Linked DNA regions of Arabidopsis thaliana. The protein of the gene in region 3 interacts with the protein of the main gene of each other region in a pairwise test. Each region holds a gene or a part of one and is shown on either strand. Other genes may lie near its edges.

Evidence for each region. The genes of interacting proteins can lie anywhere in the genome.
Region 1: the proteins of UTR2 (region 3) and AT2G33250 interact in a protein complementation assay, tested with the Arabidopsis thaliana proteins (one large-scale study listed by BioGRID).
Region 2: the proteins of UTR2 (region 3) and AT2G38330 interact in a protein complementation assay, tested with the Arabidopsis thaliana proteins (one large-scale study listed by BioGRID).

Annotation. Positions count from the first base shown.
Region 1 is NC_003071.7:14,095,173-14,100,063, reverse strand, and holds AT2G33250 (uncharacterized protein), read right to left. Parts: upstream 2,696-4,891; 5' UTR 2,611-2,695; coding exon 2,206-2,610; intron 1,881-2,205; coding exon 1,386-1,880; 3' UTR 1,313-1,385; downstream 1-1,312. Other genes in the region: AT2G33255 (Haloacid dehalogenase-like hydrolase (HAD) superfamily protein), read right to left, coding at 90-224, 350-410, 502-544, 936-1,269; XID (myosin XI D), read left to right, coding at 3,150-3,206, 3,497-3,619, 3,715-3,858, 4,032-4,177, 4,267-4,423, 4,533-4,591, 4,682-4,841.
Region 2 is NC_003071.7:16,062,552-16,068,749, reverse strand, and holds AT2G38330 (MATE efflux family protein), read right to left. Parts: upstream 4,248-6,198; 5' UTR 4,180-4,247; coding exon 3,965-4,179; intron 3,885-3,964; coding exon 3,775-3,884; intron 3,689-3,774; coding exon 3,536-3,688; intron 3,433-3,535; coding exon 3,311-3,432; intron 3,209-3,310; coding exon 3,073-3,208; intron 2,921-3,072; coding exon 2,824-2,920; intron 2,726-2,823; coding exon 2,625-2,725; intron 2,547-2,624; coding exon 2,383-2,546; intron 2,243-2,382; coding exon 2,171-2,242; intron 2,083-2,170; coding exon 1,966-2,082; intron 1,885-1,965; coding exon 1,789-1,884; intron 1,703-1,788; coding exon 1,581-1,702; intron 1,493-1,580; coding exon 1,432-1,492; 3' UTR 1,313-1,431; downstream 1-1,312. Other genes in the region: AT2G38350 (uncharacterized protein), read right to left, coding at 359-409; DREB19 (Integrase-type DNA-binding superfamily protein), read left to right, coding at 569-1,303.
Region 3 is NC_003075.7:12,058,828-12,064,841, forward strand, and holds UTR2 (UDP-galactose transporter 2), read right to left. Parts: upstream 4,032-6,014; 5' UTR 3,660-4,031; coding exon 3,537-3,659; intron 3,176-3,536; coding exon 3,147-3,175; intron 3,066-3,146; coding exon 2,864-3,065; intron 2,774-2,863; coding exon 2,531-2,773; coding exon of another isoform or gene 2,508-2,530; intron 2,462-2,507; coding exon of another isoform or gene 2,434-2,461; coding exon 2,332-2,433; intron 2,249-2,331; coding exon 2,108-2,248; intron 1,912-2,107; coding exon 1,804-1,911; intron 1,756-1,803; coding exon of another isoform or gene 1,722-1,755; coding exon 1,491-1,721; coding exon of another isoform or gene 1,480-1,490; 3' UTR 1,357-1,479; downstream 1-1,356. Other genes in the region: AT4G23000 (Calcineurin-like metallo-phosphoesterase superfamily protein), read left to right, coding at 1-250, 408-556, 635-820; AT4G23015 (uncharacterized protein), read left to right, coding at 1,480-1,755.

The DNA.
Region 1 (4,891 bases), on a different chromosome or scaffold from region 3:
CATTGTTTAAGCTTCTTTCATTGCATTGCTTATCGATTTGCTATGGAGAAAGGGTTGACCAAAGGCTTGTCATCATGTCTGTCACTCACATCATCTTTTAAGCTGTCACCAACCATCATGACTTCATTAGGTTGGATGTCCCATGTAGAACATATATGCAACAGCGGGTCTGGGTTTGGTTTATATGGACGAAACTCTCTGCCTAGTGCTGGAGAAAAGATAACCTATACAATGAAAAATAACTGTAAGGAACTGCCTCAGATTTCTTCTCTCTGATAAAAAAAAAAGAATGATCCAGCTAAACCTATCTCAGGCAGCTGTCAAAATGTCTTCAATTCAACATTCTTACCTCAAAACGTTGATGGAAGATGTCGATTGCCTTTTGAACATTGCGTGTAATTAGCCCCCTCCTATAAAGTAAAATACAAAATGTAACAACAGTCAAGTTATCTGAACAAGAAAACAAAAAATCATAGACAGAAGTATCTGAAAACCACAGACTTTATCTTTTTGGAATCAAGGAAGCCACATAGTTCAGCAGTACCTGCCACATAAATGATCACATATCAGAAGAGAATTAAACCTCTAAACGCCAAAGAAACACAGTACTCCTTCTAGATTTTCAACTGCTAAATCATCTTATAGAACTCAACAGCATAAAGTCAATGACCAGTAAAGGAATGATCTCAAATCGTGATGTGGGGCTCTAAGACAAAAGTCAAACCTCCGTTAGACCATAAAGTCTTCACTTTTAACAAATGTTCATTTTATCTTTCAGCCTTGAATTTGCAATCTTTTCTCATCTTTAACTCTACGAAATTCTCAATCTTTAACCCATTTTACGATAGATTATCAGACGAAAACCCAAATCCTTAACACTTCCTCAGCGCAAACACAAAATCAAAAATAAAAAAATAAAGCAGATGAATCCGTACCAGGCATGATTTGAAGCTTATCTATTCCTTGTTTCTCATAATCAGCAATGATTTCATACGCCTTCTGCTGTTTATCAGGACTCCACGACTCAATATGATGCAGAATATCAATCCCACTAGGGCTCTCTGCTTTGATTCGCTTGTAAGCATCTTCACCAAGAACAGCTCTATACATTGCGGCGAAATCGATGACCGGAACAGTCAGGGTTCCGTCCATATCGAATACAACACCTCTCAGGCGAGTTTTAGCGTTCGTCGTTAAATTCGCCATGGAAATCGAACAAGAAGGTCTGAGAGTGAGAGAAATAAATGTTCTTGATAAGAGGAAAGTCATGGAAAAGAAATGGTGATGCTCAAACTGAAATTGAGGCTCATAATTATTCTCTATTTTTAACCAATTTCGGTTCGGTTTAATTTGAACAACTTGGTTTGTTTTGGTTTAGTGGTTTTTCACTTGAGCATGTTTGTGTATGTGCTTAAGAATGGAAACAAAGACACCAACAATCTCAACAATAATGGTTCTGCTGCCTTTTCTCTTCTTACTCTCTTCCTCTTCGGTAACGGTTTCTTCTTCGGTTCGCTTGTTGGCCGTTCGGGAATGGTGGTACCAAGCCCGTCTAACTCGTCCCACCCACCAAACTTAGAAGCCATTCCAGCTGAACTACGGTTAACTCCACGGCCATTGACATTGTTTCTAACGGTTGATGGGTTGTATCGAATCCTGCTACTACTTCTCTCCACTTCTTCTTCTTCTTCCTCTATCCCGAATTGATTTGCTATTGATGTACCTCTGCGTTTATCCCAACCAATCAACTTCTGGAACGCATAAAATAACAATGATGGCCCGATTGCTACGGCTAGTGACACGAGGAAAGCTTTGGGTCCGGTGCTGAAGAAAAGCGATAAGATGATGAATGGGAGGAGATATCCATACGATTTGAATGCCTACAAAGTGAACATAAACCAAACACAATAAAGATCCCACACCAACAATAAGAGAGCAAAATCTGGTGTATGCAAATAAAATGCAGCTATATATCAACAAAGCCGTTTCTCTTATCTTTGAGCAGAAAGACACTATCTAGTTAGAAATCAAAACTAGTTCAGATTCACTACACAACGATATTAACTGTTTCTTACATGATCACCATAACCATTACCAAAGAACAATTTTGATACTTTAATCAATCAGCATTTTCAATTAGCAGTAGTAGATTCCCGGCTAATTTCATAATTAAGGCTTAAAAGATGCATGATTGAAACTAATTACCTTTAAAATCCAAACATTATCTACAATTTCCTCTAAGATCTTCCACAGGTCAAAATTAGCACTACCAATTCCACCACCACCATCATCTTCATCATCATCGTCTTCAACATTATCTTCAAAAAGTTCTTCCCATAGCTCCCGCCGCTTCCTTCCCCTTTTTCCCCTTTCCGTCAAACGGTATCCCCTACCGTCATCAGCGGCGGCGCATATTTTATAGCTGAATCTCCGGCGGTTCAGCTGAATTATCTTCGCCGAAGTTACTCTAGAGCATGAGGAAGAGAAACAGAGGAGTTGAGAACGAGAGGGAGGATAAGATCTAGGGTTGTGGAATCGCCAGACATGGAGGTTTGAGAAACTAAGATAAGTAGAAGCTCGCGGTAACGAAAGAGCTCCTCTATCCGCCATTAACGTCTGGCGAAGCGAGAACAGTGAAGAAAATGCTCTGCTCCATGTATAGACACACTCAACTTGCGCCACGTTGTCATCATCTCCTCCATTAGAATCGAATACTATAAACCGGCTTGGTCCAGGAGAAATGTTAGAACTGAAATCCGGTATAATTGCAGGGGTAATTTCGAGATCATCAAATGTCTGACCTGACACGCCTACGTGGATTCTCTTTTCTCTTCCTTTTTCCAGAAACGAGGGAGAGAGAGACGAAGCATCAAACAAGGCAAAAACAAAAAAAAACCAGGAGAGAATATTCCGAGGGAAAACGCGAGAAAATTTCTTACGTTCTGCGAGAATCTCCAGCTTTCCTGGGGAAATATTGGAAGGCAAAAGCCGAAGGGTTTAAGGTCTCTGTAATCGTCGGAGAAATTTGAAATATCGTCCGTAAAACGTGAATGTAGTCTTAATCTTCCGCATTTATAACGTCGATCAGAGATTTTGAAGCTAGTAGAGAGAGAGAAGCGTTTTGTGTTTGATTTATGGTGTTTGGATCCATGGTGTGGAAACACCAGCTGATTGGGTTCTCAGGGATTTTTTCTAATGTTTCTCCCGTTGGAAATCTTTATTCGGGATCATTTCTAGGAAAATCAGACCAGATTTGGCCGTGATAATGGTACGAGTCTCTCTTCTCTTATCTGCATTGCGATTTCTCCGTGTTCTTCATTTTTACCTTTTTTTTTTTATCTTCTGTAACCATAATTGCTATTTGAGCTGATTTTTATGTTGCCCCTTACATTTTAGATTTCATTATAAGATGTGTCTAAAAGAGAACAAAAGAACCAGCTAATGAAGCTTGACAATATTTTTTTTATTTGTTTCTAATATATTCTACTTTAATCAGGCTTCAGTGAAGGTAACTGTGGGGTCACAGGTCTGGGTGGAAGATCCAGATGAAGCCTGGCTAGATGGAGAAGTTGTGGAAGCTAACGGTCAAGAGATCAAAGTTAATTGCCAAACCAAGACGGTTAGTCCCTTTTCTCCAAAGCAACGAGACAATGTGTTAGTTCTTAAGGTACCTTAAGAATACATTGCTCATATTTGTGATGCATTTGTTTGTAGGTTGTGGCAAAGGTTAATGCTGTCCACCCCAAGGATCCTGAGTTTCCTGAGCTTGGTGTGGACGACATGACAAAGCTTGCGTATTTGCATGAACCAGGGGTTCTTCTCAATCTAAAAGCCAGATACAATGCAAATGAAATATATGTACGCTTCAGCATGTAACTCTTGTCAGTTTTCCTTCTTTCATTACACCCACTTATGAATTCTATGATTATCTCTACCATTGTTTTGCTGAAAATTACTGCACAGTTATAGCAATATCATTAATATTTCTCTGAAGTGTTTGTAGCAAGCTAATTTCTTCTTGATGGTTACAGACATACACAGGGAATATACTGATAGCTGTGAATCCCTTTAAAAGATTACCCCACCTATATGGAAATGAGATAATGGAGCAATATAAGGGCACAGATTTTGGCGAGTTAAGCCCACATCCTTTTGCTGTTGCTGATTCTGCATACAGGTAATCTTTTGTTGCATAGATGAAACTTTAACTAATGTTGCACTATCATTTTTTTTTGGGCCTCACCATCATCAAGAATATAAATTTAGAAAAATGATCAACGAGGGAGTAAGCCAGGCGATCTTGGTGAGTGGAGAAAGCGGTGCTGGGAAGACAGAGAGCACAAAAATGCTCATGCAATATCTTGCATACATGGGTGGAAAAGCTGAGAGTGAAGGACGATCTGTCGAACAGCAAGTTTTGGAGGTAGATAGTCTGTTTACAATGCATCTACATTCTTACTAGAGACAGACTCACTGAGTTTCTCTCTGTAGATATCTTCTTATTCTTCTCGTATTATGATCCTGTTATGCAGTCAAATCCAGTTTTAGAAGCTTTTGGTAATGCAAAAACCGTCAGAAACAATAATTCAAGGTGGAATGTCATTCACATTTCTTGATTTTTCAAGTTTATGTATGTTCTTGAAGTCAACCTTGACATATGTAGGCAAATCTCATATTGCAGTCGTTTTGGTAAATTTGTGGAGATTCAGTTCAATCATATGGGAAGAATCTCAGGAGCTGCTATTAGAACATATTTGCTGGAGAGGTCACGAGTTTGTCAAGTTTCTGATCCTGAAAGAAACTATCATTGCTTTTACATGCTTTGCGCTGCGCCAGAACAGGTAAACATGGTCCCTTGTATGTTTACATCAGGTCGAACATATGAAGGCTC
Region 2 (6,198 bases), on a different chromosome or scaffold from region 3:
TACCAAAAGTCTCGGACTAAACGTCTTCAAAAAAGTAACCATGGAATAATAATTTATTTTTATAGTATAGTTTGAAACAAAGAAAAAAAGAAACACGTTTGTCAGAAAAGTAATAAGTGGAAGATGTCAAATTGCTGGCTTGCACCGTAAGCCAAAAAAACACTGAAAAAGTAAAATTTCAATTTAAGGTGGATTGGTGCCCAAGACTTACAATATCTATTTCTTCACGATATTTACGATAATTTTCAAAGTCTTAGCCGCAAAGAAATCTATAATGACCAAAACATATTGAAAAACAAATCCTAGCATACCAGAATCTGCCTAAACTGGGAAGTCACCACGTGTCTTGTAGCCGTACATTTAATTGTCGTAAGCACCACGCGTGTTCTCTTAGACGGTATCTAGACATGTGTTCCCACCTTAATTTCTGAAGGCTCTGGTGAATTCTAGGACAATCTATGCAGACAAAAATTTATAGTTTATTGTTTGGTTTTATGTTCGAAATTTAATAGTGATTGTACTGCGCTCCGTAATATTTTCTACAGTTTGTACGTGTTGTGTTTTTCCAATGGAAAAGGAAGATAACGGATCGAAACAGAGCTCCTCTGCTTCTGTTGTATCCTCGAGAAGACGAAGAAGAGTGGTTGAGCCAGTGGAAGCGACGTTACAGAGATGGGAGGAAGAAGGATTGGCGAGAGCTCGTAGGGTTCAAGCCAAAGGTTCGAAGAAAGGTTGTATGAGAGGAAAAGGTGGACCAGAGAATCCTGTTTGTCGGTTTAGAGGTGTTCGACAAAGGGTTTGGGGGAAATGGGTTGCTGAGATACGTGAACCAGTGAGTCACCGTGGTGCAAACTCTAGTCGTAGTAAACGGCTTTGGCTTGGCACGTTTGCTACTGCAGCTGAAGCTGCTTTGGCTTACGACAGAGCTGCTAGTGTCATGTACGGACCCTATGCCAGGTTAAATTTCCCGGAAGATTTGGGTGGGGGAAGGAAGAAGGACGAGGAGGCGGAAAGTTCGGGAGGCTATTGGTTGGAAACTAACAAAGCCGGTAATGGCGTGATTGAAACGGAAGGTGGAAAAGACTATGTAGTCTACAATGAAGACGCTATTGAGCTTGGCCATGACAAGACTCAGAATCCTATGACTGATAATGAAATAGTGAACCCAGCAGTGAAATCAGAGGAAGGTTACAGCTATGATCGATTCAAATTGGATAACGGATTGTTGTATAATGAACCTCAAAGCTCCAGTTATCACCAGGGAGGTGGATTCGATTCATATTTTGAGTATTTCAGATTCTAGCTTAGGATTTATGCTGCATCAATATACTATGACTATGAGACTATGTTTTTTACATTGTTAGTTTACTCCATTTTCATTTATCTTAACTTAAGAGTCACGCATCATACCGCAAAAAACAGTGATCCGCTTCATTCTGGCTTCTCTGGAGCAGACCATAGCATTTTCCATGGACCGGTTCTTGTCCCCAATCTGAAACATGACGCAGTATCCTTTTAAGAAAAATTTCGGATGGGTTGAAAACTTGAAACTAGAACGGTCTTTTTAATTAATTGTTTACCTCCAGGCTCCAGCAACCAACCGCAACGCCATGAAGAGGAACAAACCAGTCCAGATCCCGGCAAGGCCAAACGTTGGTGCAGCCACAAGCATGAACAAGGAAGATATGAATCCGACAATCACCTGTTCCAAAATGAGAAATAATCAACTTTTTCCAGGTGAAGAAAAGGGAGAATCAAACGACCAATTGATGAAGAAGGAAAAGGGACCATAGAATAAGCGGCAAATCCGAAGTCAGAGACACCATAATAGAGCCCATCCAAAACAAACGCTAGAGCATTCACCGGTTGAGATCCAGCCACAAACTGCATCCAGCCAACATTATTTAGATATTGTCTGAGACTACCCTTTTCAAACTCTTTCTGGATTAAAAGATAAGATCTTACTAAGGTCCCTGACAAAGCAATCTTTAAAACTTCTGAATCCGTTGTGAATAAGCTTGAAAATGGTTCGAAAGTGATGAACAATACAGCAGCCAAACCAGTTCCAGTTGCTAAACCTACCTACTTAAAAGATTGCAATTGTACATTATAACATCGAATATATAGGGTAGGATATAAACTAGGGATGTAATGAATTATGAATACGAACTTGAAGGACTCCGAAGAGAACTTCCCGGGCTTGTTTGTATTCTCCTTGAGAGTAAGTGGTGGCAAGAAGACTCTGAAAATAGAGGTAGAAAATATAAGTGAAAATCTTCTCCCCAAAAGGTAATCTTGGATCATGCTAATGGGATTCTTATATCACAGTAAATCTTGGTAGAGATTGTCTGTTTCGAAGATGATTTGCAAAAGATATTAGACCTGTGCAGCAATGGCTAAAGCATCGGTGAGTAAAGAGACAGCCAACCAGATTTCCAAGACGATTTGATGGCCAGCCATTTGAGTGGGTCCATTTTGAGCTGCTAACGAAGTAGCTAATGTGAATGGCACAAGCAAAGCCACCGTTCTACCAATGAGAAGCCCACCTAAGCATGAATCAATACATTTCATATAGTAGCCTTTCTGAATCGTTTAAAGAAAACTTGAAAATTTTAAGGAATTACCTGATTTGAGGTACTGGTTGGCTCTTCCCACTTTGATTTGAGGAGAGAGCAAAACTACATTCTCATTCAACTTCCATAGAAGAATAAATGCAATCAAGTATCTGAAGAAACGTTGACAAGTGAGAAACATAAGAAGCCACAAATTAAGATAGATATGCTTTACTAGAAAACGAGTCTATTACCACATTTTTGGACATACTCAGAAATCACAGTAGCAGCCGCAGCACCAGAGATACCAAAACCAAGGACAAATATCAGGATTGGATCCAATACCGCATTAAGTACATTCCCCGCAACTGTTGATATAGAGTTCACCATATTAGAAACATGTATGTGAAACTGCTAATGCATATATACGGTCTAGTGAGCTAATGCGCATATACTATTTATTTCCTCAGATCCATTCATGCATAAATACAAAAAAAATAGATGATTGTGCAATACTTGCCAACGGCATATAGAGGCGTTGTTGTGTCCTTGAAACCTCGAAAAGCTCCTTGCGCAGCCAATGCAACAACAATTGGTGGTGCACCATACGCTCGAAGTCTGAGGAACTGCTCTGCTGGTATCCGCATTGGTGAATCCTAAAAAAATTACAAACCGAGAAAGAAGAGCGATCAGCTATACAAAACTTCAAAGATAACAGCTTATATAAAAGAAGTTCAACGTGAGCTTAGAGACATTACAAAAGGTATAGCCATGACATCCATCAAGAAATCAGACCCGAGAGATAGCGCAATGGCCTCTGCAATACCAACTCCAGCAGCAAGAACTAATGAAGTTGAAACCGAAGGCAGCACTTTCTTGCCTTTAACACCAACAAATAAACAACAGATTCAAAGTAAAGAAACAATCTTTGAAGAAAACAATAAAAACATTTTTCATTATAAGCTTTAAGGAAAGTAAAATACTTGTTTCTATAGAATCATTATCATCCTTAGCAGCAATTGCTTGCTCCTCCGCAACAAACGATGTTGTGACATTTAGTAAAGGAACATTGAAGAGCTTCGACACCAAATTGAATACAGAAACTGACACTCCTACTGCAGCTAATTCCGCAGAACCTGTCACATTACACATATGAATGTTAAAAATGTGAACTTTCGAAAAATGTGAAATTGTTGAAACCAAGCAAAAAGTAAGTATTTACCAATATGGCCAACGAAGGCAGTGTCGACAAGAGATGTTATAGGATCAGCAGCTAAAGCTAATGCAGCAGGTAATGCAATTGACATTATCTCCATTCCAATTTTACCAATCCTAAACCCAAAAAAATCAAATACATTAGAAACCATTCAAAGTTGAATACAGAAGAAGCATTATTAGGCTAAGGTACGAACCCAGGATCCGGTTTGTGATCATGATCCGGTTTATTCTGTGAAGTCAGAGGATTCTGCTGCTTTTCCGGTCGCTGAGAAGAAGTGGAGACGGCTGGAGATTCATCGCGAGGAGATGATTTACAGACGATTGTTCTTCGAATGGATGAATTAGGGTTTCCAAAACGTGACGGCGATCGATGGGGAGAGAAACAGAAGGAGGTAGCGACCGCCGCCATTGCGGAGAACGAGAGACGGAGAAAAATCTCGGCGGAGGAGGAAGAAAGAGAGCCACATGTTGATGTTCACTCTTTTTATCTATCTCTACTCACTAACTGATTAAACGGTCACATGTCTAAACTAGCTGTACCTTATGGATGGGCCTTTAATGGGCTTTTTATTGGGCTTTTAAATAGCTTGTTTGTTTGTTACTTTGTTTTTTGTTTTTTTTTCTGCCAATGTTACACTTTGTATCTTTAAGATAGCTTCATCTTTTTTCTTTGTTGTGCCGTGACTCTCATATGTAAGTCATGAGTTTGATTCGTGTATTATCACTCACTTTCTCAATTTAGCAACAACTCAAAAGAAATATCTCTTTCTCCAGTTATCTTGTGACTTGGATTTGCATTTTTTTTATACACTTAAAATTTTGTTTAGTTGTTTTTTGAATGGATCCAAATTTGGATTATAGGTCCGCATATTTTGATTTTTGGGAGTATATTTGAAATCCGCATATCTAGTGTTCAAGAATCTTGATATAGAAAGTTGTAAGATCATTTGATATCCTAAAACTCAGAATTCTTTTTTTGGGTTCAAAAGCAATAACTAGTTCTTAAGAGCATATATTGGGAAAAAATAAAAATAAAGATCAAGGACGTGTTTCATGATTCAGCAGAGTTGGTTTTTGTTTTGTTTTTTGGGTTCAAAAGCAGAGTTGGATTTTAATAGATAAAGAAACATAGAGTACAAGAGTAAGGCATAGAATTGAAGTCAGCCAATTTACATCGAAAATTGGAGCGTTAGTTAAAAGAATTTATTGAGAGAGTTGCGACGCCGTGCAGCATCAGCAGAGCAGCCTCACATGACTTGCGGTCCCAGCAAATTACAGAAGAAGAAGACCTATCCTCTCTCTTTTTGAACAACCTGATTATGCACGTTGAAATACAGTAACACGTCTAACACTAGTATCATATTAAGTAAATAATACTAAATGGACCATATAACTCTTCATTCAACTTTATCAATAATGTAAGTTTGTAAGGTATTAATTAAATACCGGGGTTTACTTCTCCTATGATTATTTTATAACATTAGAATTTTGTAGTAGCATTAGGCTGTATTTTGAAAAGAAAAAACCTTTGTAATAGCATTACTATTTTACTCAGTAGTTAGAAGATGTGTTAGGAACTTGTATATGATTGGTCGGATCGATTACTGATTAAACCTTAAACCGTTGCTCATTGGTCTTTTTTATAACAATTCATAATATAACATATGAAAGAATGAAATACATATAATATATAGCTTGGGAACGCGTTCTCCTAAATTCCATACAACAGTTTGTCACTAAAATACCAAATTAGTAATTCTAAATACCAAATTATCCATTATTGACCAATACTGGTTATCATCCATTCCAAATTTAGATATAGACATACTTAGTGGCACAGGCTGTATACAACAGTTTGTCACTAAAATTCATTGTAAATGGCTACTTTCTCCTAAATTCAATACAACGTTTTACGTTGCAACCTTTGCAAAATATAATGATTTTTACAACGAAAATGAATACTACATATCCCAACGTTTTGACTATATTATAAATCCCAATGTTTGCAGAAAGTCACTGGACTACCAAGACAAACTAAATAGTTATTTAGTTTAAACAAGCGAGATGTATAACTTCTATATACAGAGCAACTATCTTTGGTTAGAACTCCGGACCATAAATATATTCGTACTAAATTGGCAAAGAAACAAACATGCATAGAATTCAAATTAGAAATTAAATTTCCGGTTTCTTGTATTCGATCTCTTTTTCTTGAATGTTACATAAATTCATGCAATTAACATATTAATAAGGTCTCTGAAGAAGAAAGTGAAAACGTAGAAGAAGAATCACCAAGAATATGCGACCAAAAAACTCACCATGAAGATAACATACAAGATACTGGAAAATTTGCAAATGAACCTACTAGAAAAAATAAATGTAACTGTGTATATGCATGTTGGTCCACGTGGTTCATGCAGAGCATATC
Region 3 (6,014 bases):
GGGAGTTTCTTTGGCACAGTTTGGAGCTCCTTTGTGTATGTAACAGAGCAGTCATATGTGTCTTTCACCGGGGTTCTTATGTTGCTAATAACTGCAATTATGTTTGTTCCCTCAAAAATATCTCGGAGGAAACGACTGTTAATTGGAATTCTTCATGTTTCTGCACACCTGATGGCTGCTTTGATTCTTATGTTGCTGTTGGAACTCGGCATAGAAATCTGTATTCAGCATAAGCTCCTTGCAAACTCCGGTCAGTTTCCTTTCCATAGAATGTTGTGGCTTTCCTCATTACAATGTCATTGACACAAGTGGACAAAAAATATGTGATCCTACTTTAATTGATATTTTTTTGTATCTGTGATCAAACCTTAATGGATTTTGAGATTTTCAAACTTTTTGCTACACAGGGTATCATACATTGTATCAGTGGTACAAATCAGTAGAAAATGAACATTTTCCGGACCCTACTGGCCTCCGAGACCGTATTGAGCAGTGGACGTTCGGATTATATCCTGCCTGCATCAAGTATCTTATGTCAGCATTTGATATTCCCGAGGTAAAATCGTCAACTTAGCCTTCGTTTTAGCTGAAATAGAAAACTATTTTTCAGCCGAAAGTAAAGTATTTGACATAGGTGATGGCGGTTACACGGACTAACATCTGTCGAGAAAGGAATGGGAGTCACTTTCTCGAAGCGGAGCAAGCCATCTATTATGCTTCTGTGTTCCTCTACTTTTGGGTTCTTCTCAACCCCTGTTGTATCTTTGGTTTTTGGAAGTTACTTATATATATCCATCAACTGGCTTCACATACACTTTGATGAAGCATTTTCTTCACTTCGGATCGCCAATTAACAAATCATTCACCCGTTTCCAACATCAAACCTGATGGAGACCTTGAAGTCTTCACTCTCGGAGTAGACAAGGTGAGAAAAACAACTCTCGAAATGACAAAAGAAAAAGTTTGTGATTATAGAATTAAACAGAGGAGTGTATGTGATGAATGAGTACAGGTGCCAAAGGAATGGAAGCTGGACAAGGACTGGGATGCAGAGCCGAGATCGACTGTGAAAATGAGTCATCACAGAAGGTTTCCAAGCAAATGGTGTGCAACAACATTGCAGCAGGATCCTGTCAACACCGTAAAGATTGTCGATAAGTTTGTTATTCATAGATCAGAGAAAGAAACTGGAGGATCTTAGATAGAATCAGGTTCTTCACTGATCCTGTCGTTTAGAATGTAGTCATTAGCGTTTCCCGCTTTATGAATAGGCTTTGAGACGAATAATGCTTTCTTCTGAGAGTGATGACAAAAATAATTCATATCATAGTTAACAATTTAACAGCTCAATCTTTTGCAATTTCACTTTAGAATCTAATAACAAGTCTCTGACACAACTTTAACTCTATTTTGTGTCTCCTTCATCCAACATTATTCTATAAACCCTTTGAATTTGTGAGATAAAATATATATAAATACATGGCACATTCTCAAACCAATGACTTCCTTTCTTCGTCCTCTTCTCTATCACCATCGCCTCCTGCGATCCTAACCGCTGGTCTCGCCGGAATCTTGGCCGGAGCTTTACTATCCATTGGAACCATCTTCAATACAATCCCCATTGCTATCAACAGCAAGCCTGATCCGTGCTGTTCCGTTAACGGCTTTGTGAATATCAAATACGACAGCAACAATGTAACCCCTTTCCTAGCCGTTGTTATCTACACACAACGAAATGTGATTTTAGACCATTGAGTCAATTAAAATACAAATGAGTATTCAAAGATAAGATTAGATATTTACCAAGGCAGTTGTGGCGGCTCCAAAGAGAGCAATAAGCGAGAGAACGGAGACTTGACCGATAAATGTGGCCATGGCTTCAAATACAAGCACTCCATACACATACGGATGCTGCAAATATAAACAAAGCACAATTGGTTTTAAATATGTCAACCAATGAATCATTAAACCGTTTGACTATAAAATATTCCACGTTGGTACTTAAGTTATGGAATCAATGAATTTAAAAGAGACAATTTGGCTTTTAAAAAGTTTGGCAGATTCAGAGGCACGTCGTCGGTCAATGATCTCTCTCATTTCGTGGTACCAAGAATCCTACAAATTTTGACTTTTTCTCTAAACTGAGTCCAACTCCGGTTTGAATCATAAACCGAGTCAAATCTATAGAAGTACTTTCAAAGCCAAATAAAAGGTTCCACTCTTTGTCACTTTCACTTAAAATGGACGACTATCTCATAAGGTTAACTTGGTTTGGTTAAAGGTTGACCAAAAGTCAAACCAGAAAAAAGAGAACAGAGGTTGTTTACTTACTTGTGCACACGCAGTCCACGCACGAAAAACCTCTCCGGTTAAAACCATGGGAACGAACAAGAACGGTAATCCAACAACTGTTGAGCAGAAAAGCATCTCCATCTGCACAACACACATAACAAGAGTTAATCTCAGAAACGAAACAAAACAGACCGGTAAAGGAAAACCGAAAGAACCGTGTTTTCTTTAGTTTCCTTGCCTGAGTTGTCTCAGGATTCATTGTGAAGATAGCTTCTTGCAGATTACCCAAGAAAGCATCCATGATCAATGCACCGGTTATCATCATAATCCCAATCATACTGAAATTTGGAGACATTTGCGCATCGGCTAATGTGAATAGGATCAAACCAAGAACAAGCAAGAACGCTGAAATGTATTCATGGACTGGGTATTTTCTTCTAAGACCGGGTATAAACGCTCCCATTATCATCACCGGTAACACCTAAAACATCCGAAAGATGGTCATTCCGATCATTCTTTAAACTCAATTTAAACTCATTGAGACTGTAATTGGGAAATGTGGATCTATTACCTTGGTGGATTTGAACATGATTTGAGCTGGATAATTGAGATAAGCCAAAGATCCTTTGGTTAAACCATGTGAACCCATGAGAACAGCAGAGAGTTTGACATAAGTTCTCATCGGATTAACTATATGCTTTGTGGTAAAGCCTTGAAGGTAGATTAGAAACAAGTAGACAAATCCTTGTATAAACGTGAAATACCACCCAAAGCTACAAAGACAGAGCAAAATCCCATTGTTAACTTTTGTTCAAATCTAAAACTTAAAAGAGTAATCAAAAGTTGACTTTTACCTAAATTGAAGACGATTATAAACATATTCCTGCAAAACCAAAGAAAAATAAATCAAGTCAATGATCATATATGAGTACTTGTAGATCCAATCACATTCTCTAAAATCTGTTTTCTTTACAAAGATCACAGATTTTTTGTGATCTCTCACAAGTTTGGAGAGAGTTTAGTTCGTCATGCAATTTTTTCTTCTTCCTCTGTTTTTTTTTCTCTCAGAAACAAAACATCAAACACTTAGCATGCAAGAGATTGAAAATGCAAAAAAATTATAAATTTACGAGATTCAGGAGCTGGGTATGTGGAATTATGACAAAGAACAAACAAAAACATTAACGTTGATTGATTATGTATCAAAATTCTCGAATCAAATTGCAAAAAAGAGAGAAACGAACCTCGCAAACACCGTTAACGAGATAACCAAAAAAGAAACCAGAAGTGCAAATGAGAAACTGTTGCCAAGTTGGTTTATCAGACAAAGAGATTCCAAACAGAGATCTTGTTTGTTCCTCCTTCATTTTTCTTTTCTTTTCTTTGAGGAGAGATTCAAAGGAAGAAACCCAGAAAGTGAATTAAGAGTAATTGATCAAACACATGTAAAGTGATGACTCATAACGGTATTATTATCACTCCTCGAAATAACGAAAACCACACCACAAAAAGGGTAATCAAAGAATAATTAAAACCAAATTCTTCACTCTCCTCGAGAAACTTGATGAAGAGGGAAGAGAGAGTTAATAGATGTATTGGTAAAAGAGGAGGAGGAAGAAGAGAGCTTTTAAGAAGGAAGGAGAAAACGCATGAAGAAGAAGAAGAAGAAGAGACTCGTCGCGTGATTTGCCACTTCGGGACACGTTTTTTCTCCATTGAGCGTTCTTCTTCTTCTTTTTACGTTTCCTGTTACTCTTTTTTTTACCGGTAAAACTCAAATTTGCAAGTAAGACCCTTAACGTTTATGTATGTTTGATTTAAGTCTGAAACTTTTGTTTATCTACACACCACGACAAAATTTGCATTACCAGCGTGGCACATTTTTTTGTCTTAAGTCTTTTATTGCATGATCTCATGTTTGCTAATTACGATCATATCATATTATTACCAGCTTGGTATATATATATATATAAAATTTGGGTTTTAATGACAGTTTGTGTTGTATATGTGTTGTTTGAAAAATGTATTTATAATAAATTTTGGTATAAAAATAAGAAAAATAAATGCTATGACTTATCAAATAAAATTATCTAAATTTGTCTATAAAAAAAAGTATCAAAGTAAAATGGAACAAATAAGGGTAAAAATTGATATATAAGAAACATATCAAATCAGATCTTGCTAGTCAAAATTGTAAATTTTTATCTACATTTAGGATCTGTATATTGACTATGTTTTCTAAATAACATTTGTTAAAAAAAGTGAAAGAATTCAAAAAAGTAGTGTGACAATTTTTACAAAAACCTTAATTAGAAGTCTAAAATCATATGATATCATCAAATCTTGATATAAAGTAAAAAGAAAGTGTGTCACTGACTCTACACATTAGAAAACTAGAGGCACTAATAAAAAAAATAAGATAAACTTTAGGGGTGCGTTTTCATATTTTCTTTATTTGATGCAAAAGAAAGTTACTACTTCGAGAGAATAAGAGAATAAAAAGGAAAATTTAATAAAGATAATCAATATGGCTTACGAGTCAACTTTCCGGTTTAAGACAGATTGAGTCATTGTCTCAATAGACGCCATTACAGTCTGTCTTTTACAATTTCATCATCTTTCCTGAATTTTGTTTTTGTTATTTTCGGAAGTGATTGTTAAATGCGTTACAGAAGTTCTGGTCATGTCAGAATTACATATTGACATAACATCTGGACACGTTTTGGTAAAGAAATCAATTTACTCTTTTTCTTTTCATCTTCTATATCCATATTGAGCAATAAACTTCACACATGCATATTCATTCTTTCACCAACAGAGTAGTTGTTTTGTTCTAGTTGAAAACTCTAGTGAACAAATTTGGAGGAACATATACAAAATGTGTAAGCAAAATAATGACGATATTTAGTCAATGAATTGAAATGTTTTAGAAGAATTAGGTGGCGGTGTATGGTGAACAGTCGAAATATACATTATTATTGGCTATTAGTTCTAAAGAAGCGATTATAATCGTCGTATATGAAATAGCATATAGACAAAATGGTTTGTTTTAAAATAGACCGTTTAATAATAGCTTTGATTAGTGACACTGATAAGTTAAAATGGAATAGAAAATAAATTAACTATGAGTCTATAGTCATACAAATATCATATATGCATATAGGCGTCGCAAAGAGCCAAAGACCATATTCTTTTTTTTTTTTTGGTCAAAAGCCAAAGACCATATTCTTTTCTTGAAATACCAACGCGAAACTCAACAATAAATCTGATATTTATTTTATTTTTTGTTCAAAGGCTTAAATGAGAGAGCTTACTGCAATATTACAACAACAAAAAAATTGCAATTGGTATTAGAGATTTTTTCCTATCAAATTTATTTCTATTAGAAGGTCAAGCTTTACGTGCAATTGTATTAATACATAAAGTTACAAATGATAATCTCTACACATAACAAAATTGATCTTACTCGTAGATATTTTTCTTGCTTAAAACCATTTGTGTGGTTCATAATAAACGGAAGACTTCGATCGAGAGACTTTTGCATATGCAAGCAACCCATCACATTTCACAAATTGACAACAATATTATTGCTAGAAAACTATAGATTTATGTAGATATATATTTTATTCTTTTTTGTTAAAAAAAAATCAGACATTTACATTCAAACTCAAGCGAGTAAAAGAATCAAAGTCGTTAGAGAAACAATCCAGTGACGTACGGTC